Linked DNA regions of Xenopus tropicalis. The protein of the gene in region 5 purifies or fractionates together with the protein of the main gene of each other region. This does not show direct contact. Links are inferred from orthologs where the notes say so. Each region holds a gene or a part of one and is shown on either strand. Other genes may lie near its edges. The genes, in order: sf3b2, brix1, rpl31, pop1, lin28a, kri1 and ebna1bp2.

Region 1 (3,500 bases), on a different chromosome or scaffold from region 5:
GACAACTTCCCATACAGTTTCTCAATAGCCCCGAGTCAGAACATAAAATACATTTTCTCTAATTGCCTCTTGCTCCTAGTAAGGAAGCAGAGAGAATATACCAAATCTAGTACTGAATATAAAACCTGGGCTTCACATGAAGATGAACCAAAATCCAGGGGTCACAGTGTTCTTTTCTCTTCTCCAACCCTGCTATATCTCTCCAATGGGACACAGCAGCATTTGTATTAAAGACTTCAAAATTTGGTTTCATTAAGTATGGTGTTGTGATACTACCTGACATAATAAAAATATCCCTGGAACCCTGTGGCTAACAAATCACTCAGTTTTGCACATAAAGACTTGCAGAATCATTTGCGAGACTGATACTTAAATAAATGACACATTTTTGAGTCTGATCATTTAGGACAGGAAATACATTTTTACCTTTGGCTGCAGTGAAAGAGTTGGACCTTGTGACTGCTTTACCCCATCAGTGTCAGTAGTTATGCGAGGAGGCAAACCTATTGGAAAACCTCTTCCGAGACCAGGAGGTGGGGGAGGAGCCTGAAGTGTGGGTAGAGGCATCCCAGCCATCTATAAAAAGGACAAGAAAGCACTTATTTAGGGTGAATAAGACAAATAGAATTAGTATGGTCAGGCAGAGTAGACTGAGTAACAGAAAAAAAAAGACTCAATAAGCAAGAAGGCAAAGTTTATAAAAAGTAAAAATACTGTTTTATTTGATCCTAATTTAGCCAGCACACCCACCTGTGCCAATCTAACAGCAGTAGAGGATATTTCAGCATCATCTCGAACCTAAAATAAAAGAAAACATAGATACAATAAAGCTTTTATATAAAACAGGGTTATCTGCAAAAGAAACTATGTCTGGCCCACTGATCTGTGCAAATAGGGTTCTTTACTCAACAGGAAGGAATCATATTAGCATTTTCAAATCACTTGACCAGCACATTCAAATACCTATCTCAGTATAAACAAAAAATCAAAGATGCCCACTCACTGAAGATTGCCTTGCCCATGAGAAAAATAATGGATTTTGCTAAAGTAAACGTATGAAAAGGGTTTTTCATAGAGATTTCATAGAGAGCTTTTGCTTAAAATTTGAATGAAGCAAAGCAGAAAAAGCTGGGTTCTGGTGATCCTAAAGACTTAAAGGCTCATTTACTAACATAGTTGCTAAATTACACAAAAATGCAGTTGCCAACAGCAAACAATCAGCAAATAACTTGAAAATGAAAGCAAAGACATGACTGGTTGCTATCAGTACCTACACTAATGTAATCTAGCACCCATGTGTGTAAAGCCCATAACTGTATGGGAGTTATGGGACTTCTTAGTAAAGCTATTGCCACATGGGACTGATTCTTTTCATGTGTATAAACACTGCCTGAGAATCAACTGATCCTCTATCCTCTTGCTCCTTGGTGTACTTAGTGCCTGTGAGTGCAAACACAGAGTGGATTATAAATGCCCTGTTATTGGGTCAGTTAACCAGTCTGTAAAGTGAAAATTAAAAAAAGGGGTAAGGATTGACTGTAAGACATTCCAGACAAATATATAGTAACACACAGTAAATTACCTGTGGAGAAGCAAGATCCATAATATCCTCTCTGCTTCCTGTGGGAAAGAGACATTATTAATAAGATGTACTAGTAACTCAATATTACATAGAATACACTTTCTGAAAAGTACTATGCTCTACAATTTAAGGAGGAAATATCCTTCATAATACTTCACAGGAATAACACCTTCCAGCAAAAGACCTTGTGGAGAATAATTATTTACAAACACTTTCTTTTTAATAAAGTATACTGTAACCACTCAGGAAATATACAAGAGGCTGATTCTATATCCAGCCTTACCACATGATACCTTTGCATCCCTTCTGTACTCCTTGCCAGTCAACATGTGGTCATTGCTGCCTTTTATATCACAAAAAGGTGCTGTGAAATGTTGCCAACAAGTTTTCAGTTTTCCAGTTGTTAAGTTCTATATCATTGTGTATCTCTGGTCCTAAGAATGTCATTATAAAAATACTTAAACTAATAACAGAAAACTAGAAGAAAATCCCCTAGCCCTGATATGGAGTTACACAAAGCATAATCAGATTTCAATTCCAACTCTCATAAAGGACAGGGTTTTGGAAAAGAAAATTCTAAGGAAAAAGTTCACCCTGTTTCTAGAATGGTCTTGATAGAGGCAGGTTTGAGACCAGCAATACAGCTGATGAAAAAATTGCTGTAGTTTTCTGGCAACACACATAGTCTAATGTGATGGTGCACAAATTTCTACCTACCCCTGTTAAATTAATTTGTCATATAGGGCAGTGCTGTCCAACTGGCGGCCCGCGACCCCCCTCTGTGTGAGTAAGCATTAAATGGTATCAGTACTGAGATTAACTGGCCCCCTGCATGGTTCTCACCTCAGATTCAGGCTGTAATCCCTCTGTATTGTTTAAAAATGTAGTTCCCTGTGTTTTTCACACCTTTTAATACCTGCATTGTTCACCCCCAGCAGTGTTCACACCTCAGGCTCAGACTGTAATCACTCCAATTGTTTACTTCTTCACACCTCAGACATAGGTACTGTAGGCAGAGTATGGCACATACAGCCAGCATAGGGCAGGTAGAGTATGGCACATACAGTCACGGTAGGGCAGGCAGAGTATGGCATACACAGGCAGGGTAGGGCAGGCAGAGTATGGCACACACAGTCAGGGTAGGGCAGGCAGAGTATGGCACACACAGTCAGGGTAGGGCAGGCAGGAAATGGCACACACAGGAAGGGTAGGGCAGGCAGAGTATGGCACACACAGTCAGGGTAGGGCAGGCAGAGTATGGCACACACAGTCAGGGTAGGGCAGGCAGAGTACGGCACACACAGTCAGGGTAGGGCAGGCAGAGTATGGCACACACAGTCAGGGTAGGGCAGGCAGAGTATGGCACACACAGTCAGGGTAGGGCAGGCAGAGTATGGCACACAGAGGCAGCATAGGGAAGGCAGAGTATGGCACACACAGGCAGGGTATGGCACACACAGAAAGCATAGGACAGGCAGAGTGCTGCCTGTGTGTGCCATACTCTGCTTGCCCTATGCTGCTTGTGGGAGGTGAACCTGGCAGGGGTTTGTTGTGGGAGTTTGTTAGCAGTTGGAAATAGCCATTAAATCGTTCCTAAGGTGTGTAATTATGTACTGGGGGTTGCTCTGCTATCCACAGGGGAGGAGGAGGCATATGGAATTTAAGGGTATATCTTAATATGACATAATTCTTTCACATATGAATGATGGTTGATATCCCCACAGTAAGGACCAAGCATTTGGGATTTTGCTGTGCTACCACCATTGTGATAAAATAGGTGTGGTTTGAAGTGGGTGTGGTTTCAAAAAGGGGAGTGGTCAAAACTGGCTACAATTAGCGGCCCTCCACCATGTATGCTAGAGAAATTCCGGCCCTCGGCACCGTAGAAGTTGGACAGCACTGATATAGGGGAATGCTA
Region 2 (2,854 bases), on a different chromosome or scaffold from region 5:
AGCAAGGAATGCAGAATATCTGAACATCTCCTACTGGGAATAAAGTGGGATTATGAGACTTGGACTGCAAAGCAAGGAAAGGCAACAAGTAGCCAGGATATCCAGATAAGTCTTTCCTACTCCAAATGTATATCTTTCTACTGCTGTGCCCCAGATCATGCTAGATCATGCAAGATTTTGTATTTATTTCAGTATAAAAACATTGTTTTGCCAAGAGCGTCATTGCCTTCTGTTTGGGTCATTAATCATGAAGGTGCATTGGGAATCTGAACGCTAACTGCTGAATCCGGATACAAAGCGCTGGTGCTGGCGGAGGAGCCAGATATGCTTGTGCCAGGCAATATATTATCATTGGTTACTTAGTTTAGTTGGCTCCATCCATCTATGGGAACATACAGTGTTTTCTGCGTTAAATAAAATGCCCCACAAGCCAGCCGCCTGTTTATGACCTAAATCTACATTAAGAATAAAGAATGAAAAGCACCCATACAGCAGCAGAATAGCTTTTAGGATAAGGTTTAATATACAAAACAGCCATACCCCGTGCTAATACCCCCTCCCCCAATACCCGGCCCCCCAAACATCACATGCGTTTCTTAGCCATTCTCTGCCTTTTGAACTGCTTGTCTTTCCTCTTCACCTTGGGCTTGGGTGCCGGTGGCTCCGTCTCAATGGTCTGAGGTTTCTCCTCAGCTGGAGTATAGAACACAGACTCTGTGGGATCGGCAGGGATAACCGGTCTGTCTTCCTCCTTCTTCATCTTCTGCAGCTCCTTTACCTGCTGCTTCTCTTTCACCTTGGCTGCTGTCGCCATTCGGATCATTCGCCGGTGCTTCAAATGGAACACATAGGATTTTCATTAGCTAAAGGGGGCTCAGCGCGACACAGTGGGGAAAATAGTCAGGGCCGAACTACAGCTTCCATTAATAATGGATGAACAATCAAGCTTCTCCCAGCTGCACTGCAAGAAACCAGACCCTTCATTTTAGCCCCCCCAATATAGATGTGCTATACCAGCTGTTACCAGAATACGAGGGTACCAAAACCCCTCAGCTCAAATAACTTGTTCTAGATTTGCCTACAAGAAGAGAATCCACTAGTTCTGGAACGGGCTCTAGATGGTGATGGAACGATTAGCACCACGCAGCTTGAACCCTTCCTACTCTTTTTGGACCTGCAGGTTCATTTGGATGTTCTGATTAATCCTATATTCAGCGGCATAACAACCCGGACAGCAGGGTCTGCTTCATTGCTGCATATAAATCACCGCTCCATGCGGTCTCTCAGGTAGACATGTGGGCGGAGAGTGGGGATTAATATGTGAGCTTGAGTCTACTCTGCACCGGCCCCCCTGTAGAAAAAAGATAAAAATCTTTGGGGGGGGCAGAGCAGAATAGGCTCACCCAGCCCCCACCCTCTCACAGTAGTTATGCCACTGTCTATAATTAACTAACTGATCATTTGGCAACTTTTCCTGGGACTCAGTTTCGTAAGAATGCAGAAGCCTAAATAACAGGCCTATAAAGGAGGTCCCAGCAACCAGTGTGCCATGATGGCAGTGAATACCGTACCATGTTTGGAGACTGGTAGTGAGGGTTCTCATAGAGTGTCGGCCCTCCGAAGCTTCCCTTGAAAATCTTAATGAGATTTAGGACAAAACGGGGTCCAATTTCCACCAGGGCTGCATCCTCTTCTATAACCTGATAGACACAACAACACAACTTATTATTCTGATTGTACACACACTGGGAAGGGTGCAAAAAATAAACACTAAGGCTGATGTATCTGCCTGAAACCAATGTGCAATATTTGGGGACTAGCACTGGGAATTTAATCTACTCTCCTGCATTCACAGGACTGCTTCTCCTCGTCTTACTGTAAGGCTAACATTCTCTTTATAGTACAGTATTGAGTCACATGGGGCACAGTTCCTAACAGGGACCCTTATATCCCACCAGCTTTGCATCTGCATATAAGCTTAGCAAGTCAGAGAAAACTGACTGAATTAACAACTGTTTGGTACCACTTATGTGCAGCACATACATATATGTATATACACATGGATTCTCTGGGATGATATATGGCTTTAACACAGATAACACAACAGAAATATGGGAAGCGTCTCTCGCCCAGCCCTGACGCCCAAGACTGACCCCCCCCGTTACCCACCTGATAATTCCTAAACCAGATGCGGTTGTCGGCTATGGAGAAAGTGAACACGTGGTCCACAAAAGGTTGGCTTCTAGGGTGATATCTCGGGGTTCCGAAAATCTGAATAAGGAGACAAGCAAAAGGATATTTAGGGGACAGACTATACACCCCCCCCCCCCCCCCCCCCATACAGTAAACAGATGAGCATATAATATAATGTACCTGTGTAAGTAGCTCTTTCAGCAAAGCATAGTGAGGGTCCCGGTCAAATGCCTGAAACGAAAAATGATTTTACTGAGTGGAAGGGAATAAAAGAGGAAGAGGAGAGAGACATATGGTACAGACAGGCCCTGTATTAAAGGGGAACTCCAGCTTCTCAACCACTGCAATCTGTGCCTTCAAAAAGTAGGAATAAATACCATTTTTATGTGCTGAAATCTAGCTGCAAAACAGTTTCTCTCTTTCTGCATCATTTGAAATCCTGGCAGGGGAGAAGGGACTAAAACATTCATGTTATAAATTATAATTTCTCCTCAGCTTACAGACAGCATGCAGGAACTACATAACCCACATTTAGTTTCCACCTATCTTTCTACATTCTCCCTTCCTGCTTAGCACAGACAGTGGGGCAATACTCGAGTGGCAGCAGACAGAAAGGAAATAGCATGATAATTGTAAACTGTGCCAGCCCCACCCAATAGAA
Region 3 (4,114 bases), about 33 Mb from region 5:
TTAAAGATGTATACGGAAAAATTTGCCTCTACTTAACCTGTAGCAATAAGTTTTCTCCTCAATACATTTAAGTGCTAAAACTTTTTCAGGGAATTGATGGTGTGTTCTTTCTTGCAAACCACCTTTGTTTTCTGCTTTATAGTAAAGGATATAGGTAGATAGCCCACTGAAAATTTTGGGTGCCTTGTCTTTGGTGTACTATATTGGGCTTGCAACAGCCAAGAAGCACTGCTGCCTACAAGCAATTGGTGTGCAGAAGCCTGATTGTGCTGCTTTATCTTGAAAAGCTATGGAAGGTTACAGTACCGTATATACTCGAGTATAAGCCGATCCGAATATAAGCCGAGGTACCTAATTTTACCTAAGAAAACTGGAAAAACTTATTGACTCGAGTATAAGCCTAGGGTGAGAAATACAGCAGCTACTGCTAAGTTTCAATAATCAAAATAAATACCAATAAAATGACATTAAATGAGTGGGGTATATGTTTTTAAATATTTATTTAAACGCAAAGAATTAAAATCCTTCAAAACTATATATAGTTTATATAGAATATAAAGTGCAATGTGTAGTGCAGAATGGGACAGGTGATGATGGCAGATGAAGATGAATTTGGGAGCAGCCAGGGCACTGGAGGGTCTGGTTGCGGGGGGCCTCATTTGCACACAAAGGACAGCGGGTGCTAGTCTGGAGGGGCCCATGGCACCCAACTCAAGTATAAGCCGAGGGTGACTTTTTTGGCACATTTTTGGTGCTGAAAAACTAGGCTTATACTCGAGTATATACAGTATATGTAAGGTTTTATATCCAAGACTCACCTGATTCCTTTGGCCCAAACAGCTTTGTTCAGTCTGGTATCAATACGAACATCAGGAGTACGCATTTCTTTCACTGCAAACTTCCTGATCTCTTTAAGAGCCCTAGGTGCACGCTTTTTGAACCCACTAAAAAAAAAAATGTATTAATAAAAGTTTCTATTAGAGGGAAAAAAAGTGGTTAATTGTTTGGCAACAATGGCAAAAATACCCTACCCAATACAAAACACTGTGAATATTTTACTTAAGCAGAAAGATAAGCTAAGTAGTAAATAAACAGTAACTGCTTATATAAATATTTCATGTTGTAGGAATTCTACATAAACTATAAAACCTATACAAGACAAACAATCTTTAATAGCTTGAATGAACTATAGATGCAAAAACTGATCTTTTAAAGAGACATGCTATTTATAATTGTGCCTTAAAAGTATTTGCCTGATGCTTTTACATTCCCTATCAGATCCCCATGTTCCTGTATGAGGAGGCTGCCATATTTGTGTAGCAGGAGTCTGTTAGCATTAGAAGCTATAACTGACAGGCTGAGAAGGGACAGTCAGATTTAGGAACTTCAAGTAACAATTACTCACAAAAGCAGCCCTATCTGCAAAAAATGATCATCATGACCTATAGGTAACTTTTAATGTGCATTATTTTTAAGGTGAAACACACACAGCAATTCTGATCTTTCGTGCAACCATTGGTCACACAAAAGATCGTTCTCATCCTCCACAGACGTTCAGCGCTGAATCGTCAGATATGTTGATAAAAACAATATAATCTCTACCTTGACCTGGCGATTCTGCCCTGAATGTAGATTTTGCTTGGGTGCCTTCAATGGTTCCCAATCAAAACCTTTCAACCTGGCCAATGGACTGATATCGATCGCCTCTTCGAGCCGCCATACACGTACCGAATATCATACGAAACTAGGTTTTGCACAATTATATGGCTGTGTGTATGGCCGGGTTTAGTGTCAGTATCACTTTAAGCTGACAAAAACCCTAACTATATGGGGCACAAGTGAAAAAAACCCTTAAATAGTTTTATTCCGTGAAAATCCACTACTGTTAATGTTAAAGACCAGCGCGGTGAGCCAGTACATCCAAGCAAACTTTTTATAGAAAATCAAGGACACTCACATTCCATGGATCCTTTTGTGAATATTGATGGTGTATTCTCTAGTGACCACCTCATTGATGGCAGAGCGGCCCTTTTTCTTCTCACCACCCTTCTTTGCTGGTGCCATTTCTTTGGAAAGAGAAAAACAACAGACGTGTGACAAAGATGAAACCTTTATGTAGGTTCTGCATTCTAAACGCAGGAAAACATGGCAAAATGTTGGAAAGGGCAGAGATTGTACTGGATTTATGGGGATACCGTGGTGAGTTTTATTCAATTCAAGCCTCAGCCACACTTTCCGGCCACTCAGTGACAAGGAAGCCGACACAGTTACAGTACTACCGAGTGGCTACTGCTGCAATACTCATATGAAGAATACATTCGGCTTATGTCATGATTTCTATAGCCGGCAACATACATAGTACAAATCACATTCTTAAAAACTAAATGTCTCTAACAGAGACGTCCACCATCCCCACGTCGCTAGGGTGATGCGATTACTGAAAACCTACCCCCCCCCCCCTCTCAATTGCGATATGAAATAAAGGCCCAGAAATGCCCGCAGTGATTCATTAGTACTGTAATGGTATGGGCTTAGCTGATATATCTGCATTAATGCCATAGATCCTAATGTCGCTAACATCTGGAACGCGGCCTTAATCTCCCGGGTAAGATAATACACAAAACGCATCTTATTTCCTATTTAGCTCCAGATAATGACATTAAGTTGTCGCCCCGAGTCTCACAGACAAGCCCGGGAACAACCGAAGGTATCCGATGGAGACAGAGCGAGGATGGTTACAGATAGAATTAGAGCAGTTACATTCGCCCGTACTCACTCAACCAGGGACTATGTCGGAAAGGAAGTAGAAAAGGATTGTGGGAGTGAAGTAAACTCCAACCCCGTGAATGCGTTTCCGGGTCGACGTAATGACGTCCGCTACGTTCTGAGAATCGTATGCGGAAAAGGGGTTGCTATAGTTACAAGCAGCTTGCTATAGATTTAGCGTCCGTAACTGTGTTTAGCGAGAAAAGCTATAAGGAAACAGAAGCGCAGAAAGCAAGTGCTAGGCACTGTAATGAGGCTTTTCTGCATAACGTACAGTTTATGTATCTTAAGTGTATGCGTTTTATAATGCCACAGTATATCAATGCTGATGTGTCAGGCGATTCATTTATTAATAGTTTGGAACTAGAATTTTGTTTTCCATTATGGGGAGTTTTTAATAAGTCGTCTTCATTATATAACCCATGATAAATATGTCATCTGGTTTTTGGTTTAAGGTAGTGCTGTCCAACTGGAGGGCTGCATGTGGCCCACGACACCCCAGTGTGTGCCCCCCCCCACCTGTCTGGCTGCTTTGATGGCTTCCCTTTGTGTAAACTGCCCCCCCTGCATGGTTTACACCTCAGATTCAGGCTGTAATTCCCCTGTATTGTTTAAACATGTAATCCCCTATAGTGTTCACACATTTTAATCTTTACAAGGTACACACCTTCGGCTCAGACTGTAAGCATACCTCCCAACATTTGAACAATGAAAAGAGGGACAAAAAGATTTGGCGTGTGCAGTGCTGCAATTTTTTGACCACGCCCACTTTTATGGCCACGCAAATTACCACACCCCATCCTTTTTTTTCCAAAAAATACTCCTTTATATAGTTGAAATGGTGAGATCAGATGCAAATTGTGCCATACCCTCATACTGTACTACCTAAGGAAAACAATATAGCAACTCCTACATATAAAACACAAATATAGAGAGAAGGCAGTCAGTTATAAGTGAGTTATAACTGTACCAGTTTTGCACCCCCATACACAGTGCCCCCAGTGGTCCAATAGACAGTACCCCCCATACACAGTGCCCCCCATAGAAATTGCCCCCATAGACAGTACCCCCCATAGAAAGTGCCCCAATAGACAGTACCCCCCCAAAGAAAGTGCCCCCAATTGCCCCCATAGACAGTACCCCCCATACACAGTGCCCCCATAGAAAGTACCCCCCATACACAGTGCCCCCATAGAAAGTACCCCCATACACAACGCCCCCATAGTAAGTGCCCCCAATTGAGACAATACCCCCATACACAGTGCCCCCCCCATACACACTCCTTCAGCTGCTCCTCTCGTTATGTGGCTTCTTATATGGTGGTGACAGGCCCTTTTAAGTGCACATA
Region 4 (3,500 bases), on a different chromosome or scaffold from region 5:
GTAGCAGTGGGGGGATAATAGCCTCTGGGAAGGGGCTGTGGCTGTGGGACAGCAGGTATAGTAGGGAGAGATGGTGCCTATAGTAGCAGTGGGGTAATAGCCTCTGGGAAGGACTGTGGCTGTGGGACAGCAGGTATAGTAGGGAGAGATGGTGCCTTTAGTAGCAGTGGGGGGATAATAGCCTCTGGGAAGGGGCTGTGGCTGTGGGATAGCAGGTATAGTAGGGAGAGATGGTGCCTATAGTAGCAGTGGGGGGATAATAGCCTCTGGGAAGGGACTGTGGCTGTGGGATAGCAGGTATAGTAGGGAGAGATTGTGCCTATAGTAGCAGTGGGGGGATAATAGCCTCTGGGAAGGGACTGTAGCTGTGGGATAGCAGTTATAGTAGGGAGAGATGGTGCCTGACCATTCATTTATAGATTATAACTGTGGGAAATTGTAGGATATATCAGTCTCGATCTATGTAGCCCAGATGTACTCTATAATTTTGATCCTCAGGCCCATCTTTTGCTGCTGCCTTGTGTCTCTCTGGAAAGCGCCAAGGATCCTTGGTCCTGTATAGAGCTGATAAATACCCCAAAGAAGCTCTCGGTTCTGTTACATTTCTCTGGAAACCAGCCTGTGTCCCTGATTCTCCATCTGAAAAAAGGCAGTTGTGGATATGGTGTCACCCTACTCTCAAACAGGTAAGTGACCGTTTCATTATTTTATACTGGCAAATCTCAATTTGAACCTGGGCTTAGGCTAAATTACTGCTATTGATTTTAGTTTCTTACTGCAGTTTTTTTGTTTAAGCCTGCCATGTTTTTTATGAAATTGGAATAAACTCCATATACATGTCTGATAGGACATACTGAGAGAATTAAGACAAGTTTGTCAGTGTGAGGAAGCTCCTGACATTGCTGTCTGCAAGCCCGAGCCTGTTATTGCTCCACAACCTGCAAAACCACAAACTACCCCTAAAACTACAGCGAAAAAGCGGAAGCGGAAAGATCAGGAAGGGGAACAGGCAGTACCTGTGAAAAGAATCATTGGCGATGGGACTAGGGATTCTCTGGATCCATATTACTGGACATCAAAGCATACAGCCATCAGAATTAGGTATGTATAAGGCTTGTGGCATATGCCTGTTCTTTCTGCTGCTCTGAAATGTTAGACAGTGGCATATGGACTGTGGGTCTGTGGGTTCTGGCAAATGCCAGAGGGGCTGCTGTAAGATGCCATAGACAGTCACTATTTATTGGGCTGGTGGGGCTGTTTGGGCCTCTGTGTCCTTGCAAAGCCAGGGACTATTTTAAATCCAAGTTGAGGCCAGCACATGAATAGTATAAGCCCTAAACAAATGTGCTTTAAAAGGTGATTACTATGGCCAAAATGGTGATTGTAAGATCACCTTCCAAACACTTTTTCAGGTTTCCCTTTTACAACTTCTGCATTCTAATGTTGCATGTTCTTCAGGTCCTTCTGTAGTCCATACTTTGCAACAGTGAATTGGCCAATGTATATTTGTTTGCAGCAGAGACTTTTCATAGCACCAATGCATGTGGTGTATTTGAGTTATCCTATTCATTACATAAAATCGGCTTAATCTCTTCTCCTAGTGATCTGACTATGGAATTTGTGCGCTATCGACTGACTGGCCCTCTCTCTCACAGTGTGCTGACTGAAGCTTTGCGTTCTGCTCCACTTCATAAGGCAAGCTGAGGATTTCTTATTTGTTTTGTATGTGACAGGGTTACCTAACTACTATGCTTCCATAATGTGGCAGCTAAAAGAATGGTACTTTGATTAACTTTGATATATAATTTTACTTTTATACAGGTTTATTATATTTAGTTGCCTCCAGGAATACCTGGAGCTCTAAAGCTGTACATGCTGTACGACTCTGCTTTGTACAGCAGAAAAATGTTAACTTTCCATAAACTGTCCCACTGCACCACCTAGTTCCTTAAAGTTATTGCCACTTAAACAGAGGCTGTAAAATTGGCCAATCCTGTTAAAGTTAACCTGTATTTTCCTGTTGAAATCAAGTCTAATGTACAGCCTTATTCCTAGGAAACTGAAAGTGATGCAGGGCCTCATACCTGGTGGGCAGATTACTGCAGTAACCCTGAGAATGTCAGACTCCATACCCTTCAGGAATCCATGTTTCAGCTGCTGCAAGGTACCCTCTCAGCTTCTCTGTTATAGGATTTCTTGTATCAGCCAACTATTTCTCTGTGCTACAAAGCAGAGTGGGATAAGCTGGAATACCTATCATACTGAAGCAAAATATAGGTCTCTGCAAAACAACACAAGCATCTGTGAGTGAGCTATTTGCTACTCAACAAATAAATGCAGGGGAGCTCTGTTTAGCCTTCAACTTACTTCTAATACCGGATATTTTCAGCTTGGATAATTGAAAGCCCCATTATAAAATAGGGCTGCTCCCATTGTTTGCCCTTAACCCCCCACCAGATTTTACATACAGCTTTATTAATAACTACATATGAGAGAGCTACATTTTTACCCCTTTTTATCTGTTGGCAAAAATTGTGGGTTCATGCCCCTTTTGTGGTTCACCCCCTTAGCTTAAAGCAAGGTTATAGCTATATTTGCAAACTTAAGATCGGCAAGGAGTATTTGCTCTCCCCTAGCACACCCATCCGCTGCTTTGAGACCCTTTATGAGGCCATTCCTCTGCTTTAAAGGGGTTGTATTCACCTTTCAGTTACATTTTAGTATGTTATAGAATGGTTATTTCTAAGGAACTTTTCAGTTGGTCTTCATTAATTATTTTTTTTATACATATAAATTAGGTGTCGCTGCCTTTAGACATTTTCCAACTTTCAAATGGGGGTCACTGACCCCAGCAGCCAAAATTATAAGACTACAATTTTATTGTTATTGTTAATTTTTCTATTCAGGCCCTCTTCTATAAATGTCAGTCTCTCATTCAAACCACTGCCTGGTTGCTAAAGAAATGTAAACCCTAGCAACAAGATAACTGCAAAAATATCATGCTATAGAGCTGCTGAGCAAAAAGTGAAATCATTAGAAAAATAAATAAATAAAATCCTATTACAAATTGTCTCAGAATATCACTCTTTAGTATAATGTAAACTCAAAGGTGAACTACCCATTTAAAGATATCAGTAAACAGGTTTTCTGCAGAGTAAAGCTGGCCATACACGTGGCGATCTGACGATGTTTCGTTCGACCATAGGTCGCACGAAACATCGTCAGATCCGCCACACACCGTCAGGGCTGAAACAGCAGATAAGGAGGTAGAAACAATAGGATTTCTACCTCCTTCTGCCGATTCAGCCCTGACGGCAGATTTTGGTCAGGCGCCTTCTATGGCGCCCGATCAAAATTTTCTAACCTGGCCGATCGGCAAGTCGTCCGATATCAGCAGCTTCCTGCGATATCGGTCGACTCGCCAACATGCCATACACGCACCGAATATCATACGAAACGAGGTTTCGTATGATAGTATCGGTGCGTGTATTGCCAGCATA
Region 5 (3,500 bases):
GAAAATACACAGTGTAAAAAAACGCCACGTGTGGCATCAGCCTTAAACTGCAACTACGAAAATTCTTGATTATATATTTTAGAAAGATTAAAGCTGTATCTTAAAAACTTCTAGGGACCCAAGTCAGGCTACATATAGGTGACTGCAGAGGTGGTCGAAACACCTGTGTGCAACATTAAAATTGACCAATGCCAGCAGCTTATTGGTCTGTGTATGGTGCTTGTTGTTGCTGACTGATAGCTGGCTGAAAGCTGGCACGAACGGTCTGAAGGCGTCCAAATGTGTTTTTTTAGTAATTATAGGTATTTTTGTGACTTTTTCGTCGCCGTAGCGACTTTTTCGTATGTTCCGCGACTTTTCCGTCGCCGTTGCGACTTTTTCGTATATTTTCCGCAACTTTTTAGTTGCGGAAAAATCAGATTGGTTTTACCACTGTTTACAATCGTTCAATACGAAAAAATCGCAACGGCGACGGAATAGTCGCGCAAAATACGATAGTCGCGGTTGCGATGAAAAAACCTCTCCCACAGGAGATTTCGGAAAATCGCCGAAAAAGCCTCGAGTCTTTTTCGGCGATTTGCGCGAAATCGCGCCGCCGCGTCTGCCATCCCGCCGGTGACTTACATGTTCGCCGGTGGGATGGCAGGGGGAAGGCAACTCGGGGAGATTAGTCGCCCGCAAGCAGGGAGTTTTGCCGCGGGCGACTAATCTCCCCGTGTACCAGAGCCCTTAGGGCGAAGACACACAGAGCTACTAGTAGCAACTACTTGTCATGGTTACAAAAATAGTAAATGCTGATCATTTGCTGATAATTGTCTTTACGTGTGTTTTAGCAGAGGCATTGTCTATCTCATTGTCTATGGCAGGGTATTTCCTGGCCTACTAAGTAGCTTCATGTGTCTTCACTCTAAAAGTTATTGTGGGCCTTTAAGGAAAGCTAAGTAGTTGCAGCAGGACTGACTTGCAAATAATTTTGTACAAGTATAACACAAATGGAAAGATAGCCCAAAAACACAGGGCTGTAAAAATAGCACAACTTTCTGAAAAGTGGGTGTGGTTTGGAGCAGATCAGGGGCACATCTTCATGTAACTGAGCATGACTAGCGCATATGAGCATTGTCCACATTTTTTTATATTGAAATGTTGGGAAGTATAATGTTCAATTTCCCTGCTGTCATTGGTTGATCATAGGCTAATATTACATGTGGTCTTTTCTCTGCCAGGATAAATAAGTCAGCAGAGAAAGTGCCAGTCTACTGCCATCAGCCCTAATTGCAGTAGAACTGATACATATGGCATCCACCTGCTTACTCAGTGTTAGCAGTGATAGGTGGATGCCATAAGTGGCAGTGCTGCTGGAACAAAGGGTGTATTACAGTGGATTGGTGTACTCTCTGCTGGAGTATTTATGGTGGAGCAGAAAAAGCCACATATGACCTTAGCCTAAGTGTTCAGGATCCTTTTGTTATGAAAAGTTTAGTTTTAATTATAGTTTAGTTTTGGGTTTATCTTAAGGTAAATTGCATTTCTGTAGCCTCATTTACTGTAAATTGAAATTCTAAATGCTACAGTAAATATCCCCAAACACACTGCCTATGACACTGACTTCACATTGGGAATGTTTTCAGCATCCTTGAAAGATTTAGTTCAAGATTTTTTGACAATTTGTTCAGTGCATTTTGTCCTGCTTAAAAAGTAGCATCAAAACACCAGTAATTGTCCAATGCTGTTATTGCTGAAAAATTGCATTAAAACCACAGTATGGGCAATTTTAAAGAGTTTTATTTCTGAAAAATATTAATGGGTGCAGTAGCAAAAATACCATGTATACCATGAGCAATTGGGGATAAAGTAATAGAAGTCACAAGCGTATATCGCAAACATATATAACAATGGGAAATGAGATTAATGGGCACACCGCTTTTTATAGTATGCTAGAAATACACTAGTAGTGTGTAATATTTAAATTGCAATCTGGGTTAAGAAAAAAAAACCTTTACTAGTGCAACAATTGGTTTGTAATAGGTATCCTTTAATAATGTAAAAACTCGTACTTTACAGTTCTCATAAACCAGGGAAATAATGGGCCAGATTCAATGAGAATAAAATATACTCAAAAAAAAAATATTCATGTATTGGGTAGCAATTTATTGTGCTACAAGCACTTCCTCTTCCACTGTAGCTTACAACCTGCTGTCCTATGTGCATTTTACTATTGCTTGTCATACTGGGCCAGATTAGGTTCCATGAGAACATTTTATTTTACAGTTTATCAAGTATCAAGAAAATCTGGCATTGAATTAGTAAATCAGTTTTTCTCATCAAATTAAATCTAGCCTATTGTCTATTAACAGCATGCAGATCATTCACTGTGTAGATAAATTACATTTATATAGTTAACTGGTTGTATGTTCTATATACAGGAGGGCTTCCAAAATCTTTGGATGAAACAGCAGATATACACAAAAGTGATGAATCTCTGATATTTCAAGGATCTGGAGTATGCAAGTGGTTTAATGTCCGAATGGGTTTTGGATTCCTAACTATGACCAAGAAGGAGGGAACTGATCTTGAGACCCCAGTGGATGTTTTTGTTCATCAGGTAATTATAAAAAAAGAAGTATATCTGTCATATTTAATCTGAGATTATCTGGTGGTTAGAATGTATGATTCTAAATGAGTGTCTGTATCTCCGTATTTACAGCCATGCTATTAAAACGTGTAGTTCAGGATGCACAGTTGGCTTCAGGGATAAATATAGAACAATATACGTGCTTCTGTCCTCCATTTCTAGGTAGCATTTTTGGTTTTGAGGCAATGTTGTGAGAATAGCATTAGGTGTGTATTTAACGTCTGTTTTTAGAGATTTGTGTCAGATGTACAGTGGAGGGTTTTTTTCTGCCTGCTTAAGTCCATCTCGCATTAACCTTATTCATTCCTTCTTTTGCTCCTTTACGGGAAACCAGAGACTGAGTCATTATTTGGAAAGTGGATTGTATTCTCATGCGAAACATTTCATTCTAGTGGTGGGATGTTTTCTTTGGTGGCCCCCTACTGTCATCCTTTACGTAAACCTTGCATATGAATAAATATAATTGCCAGCAGAATAAAGTAGGCAGGATGCCCAGCAGGGAAGTAAATGAATGAATAAGGATATACTCCAGGCAATGGGCTCTACAGTTGTTAACCTTTTGCTGACCCAGGCCAGGCACTCCCAGGATTCACATATGTGGGTGGCATACAGACAATATCCAACTTTATTGCCCAGAAGGTACAATTTCCTTACTGCAGTAACTAACATTCCAACATCAAAAGGTCTCTATCCTGGCCAGAGACACCCTCCCACCAAGTCAGATGCATTTCCTATCCTAATATCTACAGTGTCTAAATGATATGGACTGAGATAAGGCATCCTGCACCAACAAGAAGATATGATTCAGTGTGTTTGGAGTAGGATGAAGTCCAAAGGGTAAAAAGGGTGATACATAAACATCCTGTCC
Region 6 (3,500 bases), on a different chromosome or scaffold from region 5:
CCATGCATGCACAGCGCCGGTACAGTACAGGCAGCGCCAGTCCCACCCCCTATACAGTACAGGCAGCGCCAGTCCCACCCCCTATACACTACAGGCAGCGCCAGTCCCACCCCCTATACACTACAGGCAGCGCCAGTCCCACCCCCTATACACTACAGGCAGCGCCAGTCCCACCCCCTATACACTACAGGCAGCGCCAGTCCCACCCCCTATACACTACAGGCAGCGCCAGTCCCACCCCCTATACACTACAGGCAGCGCCAGTCCCACCCCCTATACACTACAGGCAGCGCCAGTCCCACCCCCTATACACTACAGGCAGCGCAGTCCCACCCCCTATACACTACAGGCAGCGCCAGTCCCACCCCCTATACACTACAGGCAGCGCCAGTCCCACCCCCTATACACTACAGGCAGCGCCAGTCCCACCCCCTATACACTACAGGCAGCGCCAGTCCCACCCCCTATACACTACAGGCAGCGCCCAGTCCCCCCCCCCCTATACACTACAGGCAGCGCCAGTCCCCCCCCCCCTATACACTACAGGCAGCGCCAGTCCCCCCCCCCCTATACAGTACAGGCAGCGCCAGTCCCCCCCCCCCCTATACAGTACAGGCCCCCCTAAGCGCCAGTCCCCCCCCCCCTATACAGTACAGGCAGCGCCAGTCCCCCCCCCCTATACAGTACAGGCAGCGCCAGTCCCCCCCCCCCCTATACAGTACAGGCAGCGCCAGTCCCCCCCCCCCTATACAGTACAGGCAGCGCCAGTCCCCCCCCCCATACAGTACAGGCAGCGCCAGTCCCCCCCCCCATACAGTACAGGCAGCGCCAGTCCCCCCCCCCCCATACAGTACAGGCAGCGCCAGTCCCCCCCCCCCATACAGTACAGGCAGCGCCAGTCCCCCCCCCCCCCCCCATACAGTACAGGCAGCGCCAGTCCCCCCCCCCCCATACAGTACAGGCAGCGCCAGTCCCCCCCCCCCATACAGTACAGGCAGCGCCAGTCCCCCCCCCCCCCCCCCCCCATACAGTACAGGCAGCGCCAGTCCCACCCCCTATACAGTACAGACAGCGCCAGTCCCACCCCCTATACAGTACAGACAGCGCCAGTCCCACCCCCTATACAGTACAGGCAGCGCCAGTCCACCCCCTATACAGTACAGGCAGCGCCAGTCCCACCCCCTATACAGTACAGGCAGCGCCAGTCCCACCCCCCCCCCCCATACAGTACAGGCAGCGCCAGTCCCACCCCCCCCCCCATACAGTACAGGCAGCGCCAGTCCCACCCCCTATACAGTACAGACAGCGCCAGTCCCACCCCCTATACAGTACAGACAGCACCAGTCCCACCCCCTATACAGTACAGGCAGCGCCAGTCCCACCCCCCCCCCCCATACAGTACAGGCAGCGCCAGTCCCACCCCCCCCCCCATACAGTACAGACAGCGCCAGTCCCACCCCCCCCCCCCCATACAGTACAGGCAGCGCCAGTCCCACCCCCTATACAGTACAGACAGCGCCAGTCCCACCCCCTATACAGTACAGACAGCACCAGTCCCACCCCCCCCCATACAGTACAGGCAGCGCCAGTCCCACCCCCCCCCCATACAGTACAGGCAGCGCCAGTCCCACCCCCTATACAGTACAGGCAGCGCCAGTCCCACCCCCTATACAGTACAGACAGCGCCAGTCCCACCCCCTATACAGTACAGACAGCACCAGTCCCACCCCCTATACAGTACAGACAGCACCAGTCCCACCCCCTATACAGTACAGACAGCACCAGTCCCACCCCCTATACAGTACAGGCAGCGCCAGTCCCACCCCCCCCCCCCATACAGTACAGGCAGCGCCAGTCCCACACAGGACAGACAGAGGGACCCAGCAGTCTCACTTGCATAATGAGATCATGTTTCTCCGGATCAAAATCCTCCAGCAGGTCGTCCTCTGTGACGTCCAAGGACTTCTCTCCTGCCAACTCCCGCAGCTTCTGCAGCCGCCCCAGCACCTCCTTCTTCTTCAGGTTCTTCAGCTGCTTCAGCTCCTCCTGTTTCCTCTCTTTCTCCTGCAGAACAGATTGCAGTGGCGCCATTAATAAACCTATGTACTCTGCCTGTGCTTGTCGCCAACTCCCACCCTGCTTGGCCAGACGTCAGTATTAGGCCCAGAGAGAATGCTGGGAGGCAGGGATGCCTGCAGTTCACCCTTATTCTTCCTGCTCTCCCTGCACCCTGTATCGCTGCCGCCCTTTTCTCCCACCCACCTTCATTTTCCTCTCTTTGGTCTCCTCCCTCTTAGTCTTCCTCCGGTCGTCCTTGCGTCTCACCGACTGTGCGATGGTTCTGGGGAAAGTCTTAACCTGGGAACAGAGAGAGAAAACTATCAGAGCCCCAGAATCCCATGGCAACGGGGATGGGGGGGTCCCCCAAGCAGCCCCGCAGCTGCTCATTCCATCTTAAAATACAGACAGACAGATGGGTCACATGAGCACTCAGCCAATCACAAATGCTCAGGTCTGTCGCTCAAACTGTATAACTAACCAAATCAGAATCCGGCTCCTCAAATCTAAAATTGTATTTTCTCTCAAAATCTTCTTGTTTCTTCAGGAAAAGTTCCCCCTCGTCCTCTGAATCTGACACATGTGGGGCCTCTTCTAGGGCTGGGGGGCTACGCAGGGAGAAGGGGGCAAGTTAATCAATATTATATACTTATATTATGTATTTAGATGTATAATGATATAAACCTTACCATTCCTCATCCTCCTCAGAGTCCTCCTTCTCCTCCAGATACTCCTTGTTGAGTATATAATCCCGCAGGAATTTCTCCCCCTCATCCAGAGCCGGGTCAGACCAATATTCCTTTAGGAACCCCTAATGGAACAGAAAGGAAAGTTGCAGTGAGTGAAACCATTTCAGGATGACAGAGAGGACATTATTATTATTATGAAGCATTATCCCAGCCACTCACCATCTCCTTTACTTCCCCTTTATCATGGATTTCCTTCTGGCCCTTCAGCCAGGCAATGTATTCCTCTTCCTCCTCCTCCTGTAACAACCAAACATTACATGTTAATGGGCCCCACATTAAGCACGGGGTAAAGATGGCTGTACTTAGGATAGCTTAGGCATTGTGAGAAATTCCTATTGGCCAATAGGCTTGCAGCCTCACCTACACACAGACCAATAGTCAGACAATCCAGCTGAACTACTGAGATAAATAAACAGCAATAGGCAGGACACTAATGGAAGGCTGGGGAGAGAGAGTTCCTTAACCACCACCAACCTGCTCCTTCTTGGTCTTTATTCGTCTCGTCAATAAATTCCCCGCCGTTCCCTCTCCGTCCTCGTTGTCACTGTCCTCCACAAACGTCCGGAAGCTGCAAAGGAACCATAGAATTGAGGGTTAAATGTGTCCCCTTCAGAAGCGCCAGTGACCAACTCCTGCAGAACGGCACCCAGAAAACCACATACAGACACATTATCGCCCAGGGAGCCGATTGGA
Region 7 (4,061 bases), on a different chromosome or scaffold from region 5:
TCATTGAAAGGTTTCTTCTTTCCTTCTAAGATCACATTTAATCCAGGCTTTAGTTTCCCCTGAGAAAATGCTTCCTGCAACTGTAACAGAAGTAAACAATTAATGATATTGTAAAATACACTTGATTATCACAGGGTACAAGGCAATTCACTACAGAAAAGATATAGGTTCATTTACCAGTATAAGTGCTAAACTACACCACTGCTGGAACCCAGTACCAAACAGCAGTTAAGTTTGATTTGATGGAGAACAAATTGAAAGATTTCCATTCCCAGCTGCGCTACAGCTCATGAAGATCCATGGCTTCCAGGATAATTTCCACTAGTTTTCCCTGAGTTATTAACAGTGCCATATTTATTACAGTGTTGTATATTAACATTGAATGCCTCTATTGTTTGTTTAATATACCCAACTTATAGCTATTAAACCTTATATAACAGTCCATATTATTACTTAAAAGTGAAGAGTGCTTTACTCTGCTTTGTTGACCCTCATCTTTTACCATAATTCTATAAAGGCTTCAACCTGTTATGATCAAAGCAGAGAAGACCATTGCTTTTACCAAGTCTTAAAGAATCTGCAACTGACTAGGGCAAATGTGCAATGCTCAATGCAGATAGATTAAGTCTTGGCCAACATGATTTCTCTCCCAAGTTAATTCATATGTGCATGACCCTGAACAAATATTGATTGGAAAAAGTTACTTTTACCACAGGCTGATTCTCTGGCAGAAAGTCAAGAAAGACTAAATCAGTAGCCAGTAGTGGCCCGTGAATGGGCACCTGTGTTTAAAGGAGAACTAAACCCTAAAAATGAATATGGCTAGACATGCCATATTTTATATAATGAACTTATTGAACCAGCCTAAAGGTTCAACATCTCTAAAGTAGTAATAATTCAGTCCTTTAAATTTGTCACAGGTGGTGACCATACCAGACACTTCTGTTAGAAGTGTCTGCAACACTCACATGCTCAGTGCACTCTGAGCAGCTGTTGATGTTGTTTGTCATATAAGCTTATACTAATGGGCTGATCATTAAAGTCTGATGCTAATGGCACTGGTTTCAGAGCTGCCATGCAGTAATAATCTGTGTTAATTACTAATCAGCCTTATATTGTGATATTTATATTCTATATATACAGTATATTGTAAGTTGGTCCCTAAGCTCAGTAACTGACAGCAGCACAGAGCATGTGCAGTGAATCAGCAGAAAAGAAGATGGAAGCTACTGGGGCATTTTGACGGCACAGATCTTCCCTGCTAAAGGGCTGTGGTTGCCTTGGGCTGGTACAGACGCCCAAAACATAATTTACAACATTTCTAGGTTACATCTTTAGTTCTCCTTTAAAAGAGAAGTCAACCACTAAACCAAAATGTAACAGATCATCCACCATGACCCCTAAAGGGCCCACTCCAAACTGCTATATTTGTTTTTAAACAAACTTTTAGCTTGATTAGCGATAACCTGCTGCTTGTTGCTCTTTAATGCTCCCTCCTGGCTACTGCTTTTAGGAAGCATACTTCTTGGAAATCTGCTTATGCTTCCACAATACTTGCTGTGACGTTAGCTCTTGTGACTACAGCAGTGTAGGCTAGTGTAGAAGCTCATGCACCAGTGGGGAGCCTGCCACCTAAAATGCTTGTGCATAGATCAGTGATAAGAGAAAGGATGAGAGTGGGCAGTGATATTCTCTTGTTTCAATGAAAGGTTCCTTACCTTGCAATCATAAACAGCCTTTTATTTTTTAAGAAATTTATAAAAAAAAATAATCATGAACTCACCTCTTTATCTGTCAACTCTGAGGCATCAAAGTCAGAATCTGATTCTGGAGAACTATCTTCATGGGCTAACATGGTTACCTTGAATGTTCAAACAGTTCACAGTAAAAATCAAATCTTAATTTGTGCAAAAATTAAATTTTGCAGCAATTTATTTTATTAGCCACAATTTATCAAAAATATGATTTACCAGCAATTCTTTAAACATCTTCACCGCTATTAGTGTCAAACACTATGGGGCATATTTACTTATCCACGAACGCTCCGAGCGTTTGTTCAATCGGTCCAATCATATTTTCCGCAACTTTTTCGTACCTTGCGCTATTTTTTCAGCGCTTTCGCAAACAAATCAGATCGGCTTTGCCGCTGTTTACAATCGTTCAGTACAAAAATTTCGGGACTTTCGGATCGCCAATACGATATTATCGTGACTAATACGATTTTCTCGTAAGCATTTTCATGATATTTGCAATCTTTTTTCGTTTCCAATCCGAATTTTTCCCATTCGGGATTCAAATCTAAGTGGAGGGTGGGAACGATCTTTCGTGCAACCAATGGTCGCGTGAAAGGTTGAAAATCGCTACGTGTATGGCCATTTTCAGGAGGGCCGCAACAAATGCATTTAATTTAAACAAAATCAGATTGCAATCTACAGCAAGTATTCTGTGCAACTGTTACACAAGGATTGACAGAATTTTGTAATTATTAGAATCTTTCAATTTGTGTTTAGCAAAAGCAACTGCAGCGGATAGTATCTGTACATTCGTATGTTGCAAAAATCTGATCGATCATACATACATACATACATACATACATACATCTCCCCCAGCCGAGGCTATATTTCCACCCTGTCTTTATTGTTAAGAGGGATTTATAAAGCACTATAATAGCCAACACTGCTGTACTTTCAAGGGGATGTACACATTAAACATACAGATTATATACACATGGAAAGAGACCCAATATCCGAACCAACACTAGACAGACACCTACCTCCAGGCAAACTTCACGTGTTGCCACCCGGATATCGCCTTCCTCCCTCTTTCCGGTGACGAAAGGAATTGTACGAGGGTGTCACGTGTGCAAGTTACAACTACAAATCCCGACGTCCAGTGCGCCTGAAGTGTCAATAAGTTAGCAGCGTAGAAGTAATTTCCGAGTGGCTCAGTTCATAAACAAACCACTGACTCTGTTTGAAATATGTATTACTTGTGCTACCACTTCAGTATTAAACCGTACCACATGAATATTTGTGTTGGGAGAAACACTACACAGAAATGGGGTAGGGGCCGGGAACTTCTAAATTGGGACCAGTCTTTAGAAAGACGGAAGTCTCCCTCCATGATACTGGGAGACTACATTACCCGTCATTCCAATCGGCCAAGTCTCTAACATGTGGAGCGTCCCTGTATCCATGGCAACAGTCATATACAGCGAGTTCTGAGCGCACCGAGAGGTACAGTATGAATCTACGGGCTAATGGCTTGTATATTTTACTGACTAACCTGATAGGTGCACAAATCCCACCATTTCTTAACCTCTCCTTTACATTTGTCTTATAGGACTATTCAAAGGTGTTGTCAAATATATAATAGTATTTTTTATGTATAAAGGTTGTTCTGTCCAAGTACCAAGTCTTATTTGAAAATATTGCTTAATCCTGCCACACACAGTCCAACTTTGGTAATATGTGACACACTGAGCCGAGTCATATTATCCTGATTCCATAGAATAACCGATATGTTACTGAGAAGTAAAGTGCAGTCTATGTGCCGGTCCCGTCAAGGGGCGGTTTGGAGGGGCTGCGCATACACAATTACAATCATAAAGTTTATTTGAACATTGAGCACATTATAATAGAAATGGCCCTTGTCGATTTTCTCTGCCATTCTAAATAGCCACTGTACTTACATGAATAACAAATCTTCTTAGGCTTGTACAATTATTTTGTTTGGATCAGTATCTAATATTATCGTATCTCCTATCAAGCAATAGCACAAAATACTGGCATACAATTTACTTAATCTGAAGCTCAGTGTGGCTCTTCAGAAGTAGGTTATAATGCACAATTTCTATGATCATCCTGTAAAATAAATCTTTATAATAAATAAGAGCCATGACTTATAAATTACTTATATTTCACAACAGGGGGTGTGTAATTCACTGTATAAACAGTGCTTATTAATGTCATTGGTTATAATCAGTCCTTAGTGATGTAATTTGTGCCACATGACTCATGAAACTTTTGCATTATAAAAAATAATCTACTCCACTGTTGTTA

The links.
Region 1: the proteins of lin28a (region 5) and sf3b2 purify together in Homo sapiens (affinity purification with mass spectrometry; 3 studies listed by BioGRID and IntAct, with this or other methods). This does not show direct contact. The link is inferred for Xenopus tropicalis from reciprocal best matches to the Homo sapiens genes LIN28A and SF3B2.
Region 2: the proteins of lin28a (region 5) and brix1 purify together in Homo sapiens (affinity purification with mass spectrometry; 3 studies listed by BioGRID and IntAct, with this or other methods). This does not show direct contact. The link is inferred for Xenopus tropicalis from reciprocal best matches to the Homo sapiens genes LIN28A and BRIX1.
Region 3: the proteins of lin28a (region 5) and rpl31 purify together in Homo sapiens (affinity purification with mass spectrometry; 3 studies listed by BioGRID and IntAct, with this or other methods). This does not show direct contact. The link is inferred for Xenopus tropicalis from reciprocal best matches to the Homo sapiens genes LIN28A and RPL31.
Region 4: the proteins of lin28a (region 5) and pop1 purify together in Homo sapiens (affinity purification with mass spectrometry; 3 studies listed by BioGRID and IntAct, with this or other methods). This does not show direct contact. The link is inferred for Xenopus tropicalis from reciprocal best matches to the Homo sapiens genes LIN28A and POP1.
Region 6: the proteins of lin28a (region 5) and kri1 purify together in Homo sapiens (affinity purification with mass spectrometry; 3 studies listed by BioGRID and IntAct, with this or other methods). This does not show direct contact. The link is inferred for Xenopus tropicalis from reciprocal best matches to the Homo sapiens genes LIN28A and KRI1.
Region 7: the proteins of lin28a (region 5) and ebna1bp2 purify together in Homo sapiens (affinity purification with mass spectrometry; 3 studies listed by BioGRID and IntAct, with this or other methods). This does not show direct contact. The link is inferred for Xenopus tropicalis from reciprocal best matches to the Homo sapiens genes LIN28A and EBNA1BP2.

Annotation. Positions count from the first base shown.
Region 1 is NC_030680.2:40,092,282-40,095,781, forward strand, and holds part of sf3b2 (splicing factor 3B subunit 2), read right to left. Parts: intron 1,621-3,500; coding exon 1,583-1,620; intron 799-1,582; coding exon 751-798; intron 577-750; coding exon 427-576; intron 1-426. UniProt on the Homo sapiens protein: Component of the 17S U2 SnRNP complex of the spliceosome, a large ribonucleoprotein complex that removes introns from transcribed pre-mRNAs.
Region 2 is NC_030677.2:199,190,419-199,193,272, reverse strand, and holds the end of brix1 (ribosome biogenesis protein BRX1 homolog), read right to left. Parts: intron 2,425-2,854; coding exon 2,374-2,424; intron 2,272-2,373; coding exon 2,170-2,271; intron 1,701-2,169; coding exon 1,572-1,700; intron 833-1,571; coding exon 584-832; 3' UTR 501-583; downstream 1-500. UniProt on the Homo sapiens protein: Required for biogenesis of the 60S ribosomal subunit.
Region 3 is NC_030678.2:110,303,131-110,307,244, reverse strand, and holds the start of rpl31 (60S ribosomal protein L31), read right to left. Parts: upstream 2,801-4,114; 5' UTR 2,777-2,800; exon of another isoform or gene 2,773-2,776; intron 2,067-2,772; 5' UTR 2,065-2,066; coding exon 1,958-2,064; intron 945-1,957; coding exon 819-944; exon of another isoform or gene 789-818; intron 303-788; exon of another isoform or gene 213-302; intron 1-212.
Region 4 is NC_030682.2:129,320,696-129,324,195, reverse strand, and holds part of pop1 (ribonucleases P/MRP protein subunit POP1), read left to right. Parts: intron 1-498; coding exon 499-686; intron 687-847; coding exon 848-1,101; intron 1,102-1,601; coding exon 1,602-1,695; intron 1,696-2,055; coding exon 2,056-2,164; intron 2,165-3,500. UniProt on the Homo sapiens protein: Component of ribonuclease P, a ribonucleoprotein complex that generates mature tRNA molecules by cleaving their 5'-ends. Also a component of the MRP ribonuclease complex, which cleaves pre-rRNA sequences.
Region 5 is NC_030678.2:77,459,091-77,462,590, forward strand, and holds part of lin28a (protein lin-28 homolog A), read left to right. Parts: intron 1-2,423; coding exon 2,424-2,602; intron 2,603-3,500. UniProt on the Homo sapiens protein: RNA-binding protein that inhibits processing of pre-let-7 miRNAs and regulates translation of mRNAs that control developmental timing, pluripotency and metabolism.
Region 6 is NC_030679.2:138,188,439-138,191,938, forward strand, and holds part of kri1 (protein KRI1 homolog), read right to left. Parts: intron 3,376-3,500; coding exon 3,282-3,375; intron 3,045-3,281; coding exon 2,967-3,044; intron 2,870-2,966; coding exon 2,748-2,869; intron 2,667-2,747; coding exon 2,540-2,666; intron 2,359-2,539; coding exon 2,263-2,358; intron 2,065-2,262; coding exon 1,894-2,064; intron 1-1,893.
Region 7 is NC_030680.2:88,304,899-88,308,959, forward strand, and holds the start of ebna1bp2 (EBNA1 binding protein 2), read right to left. Parts: upstream 2,801-4,061; 5' UTR 2,774-2,800; intron 1,862-2,773; 5' UTR 1,856-1,861; coding exon 1,784-1,855; intron 81-1,783; coding exon 1-80. UniProt on the Homo sapiens protein: Required for the processing of the 27S pre-rRNA.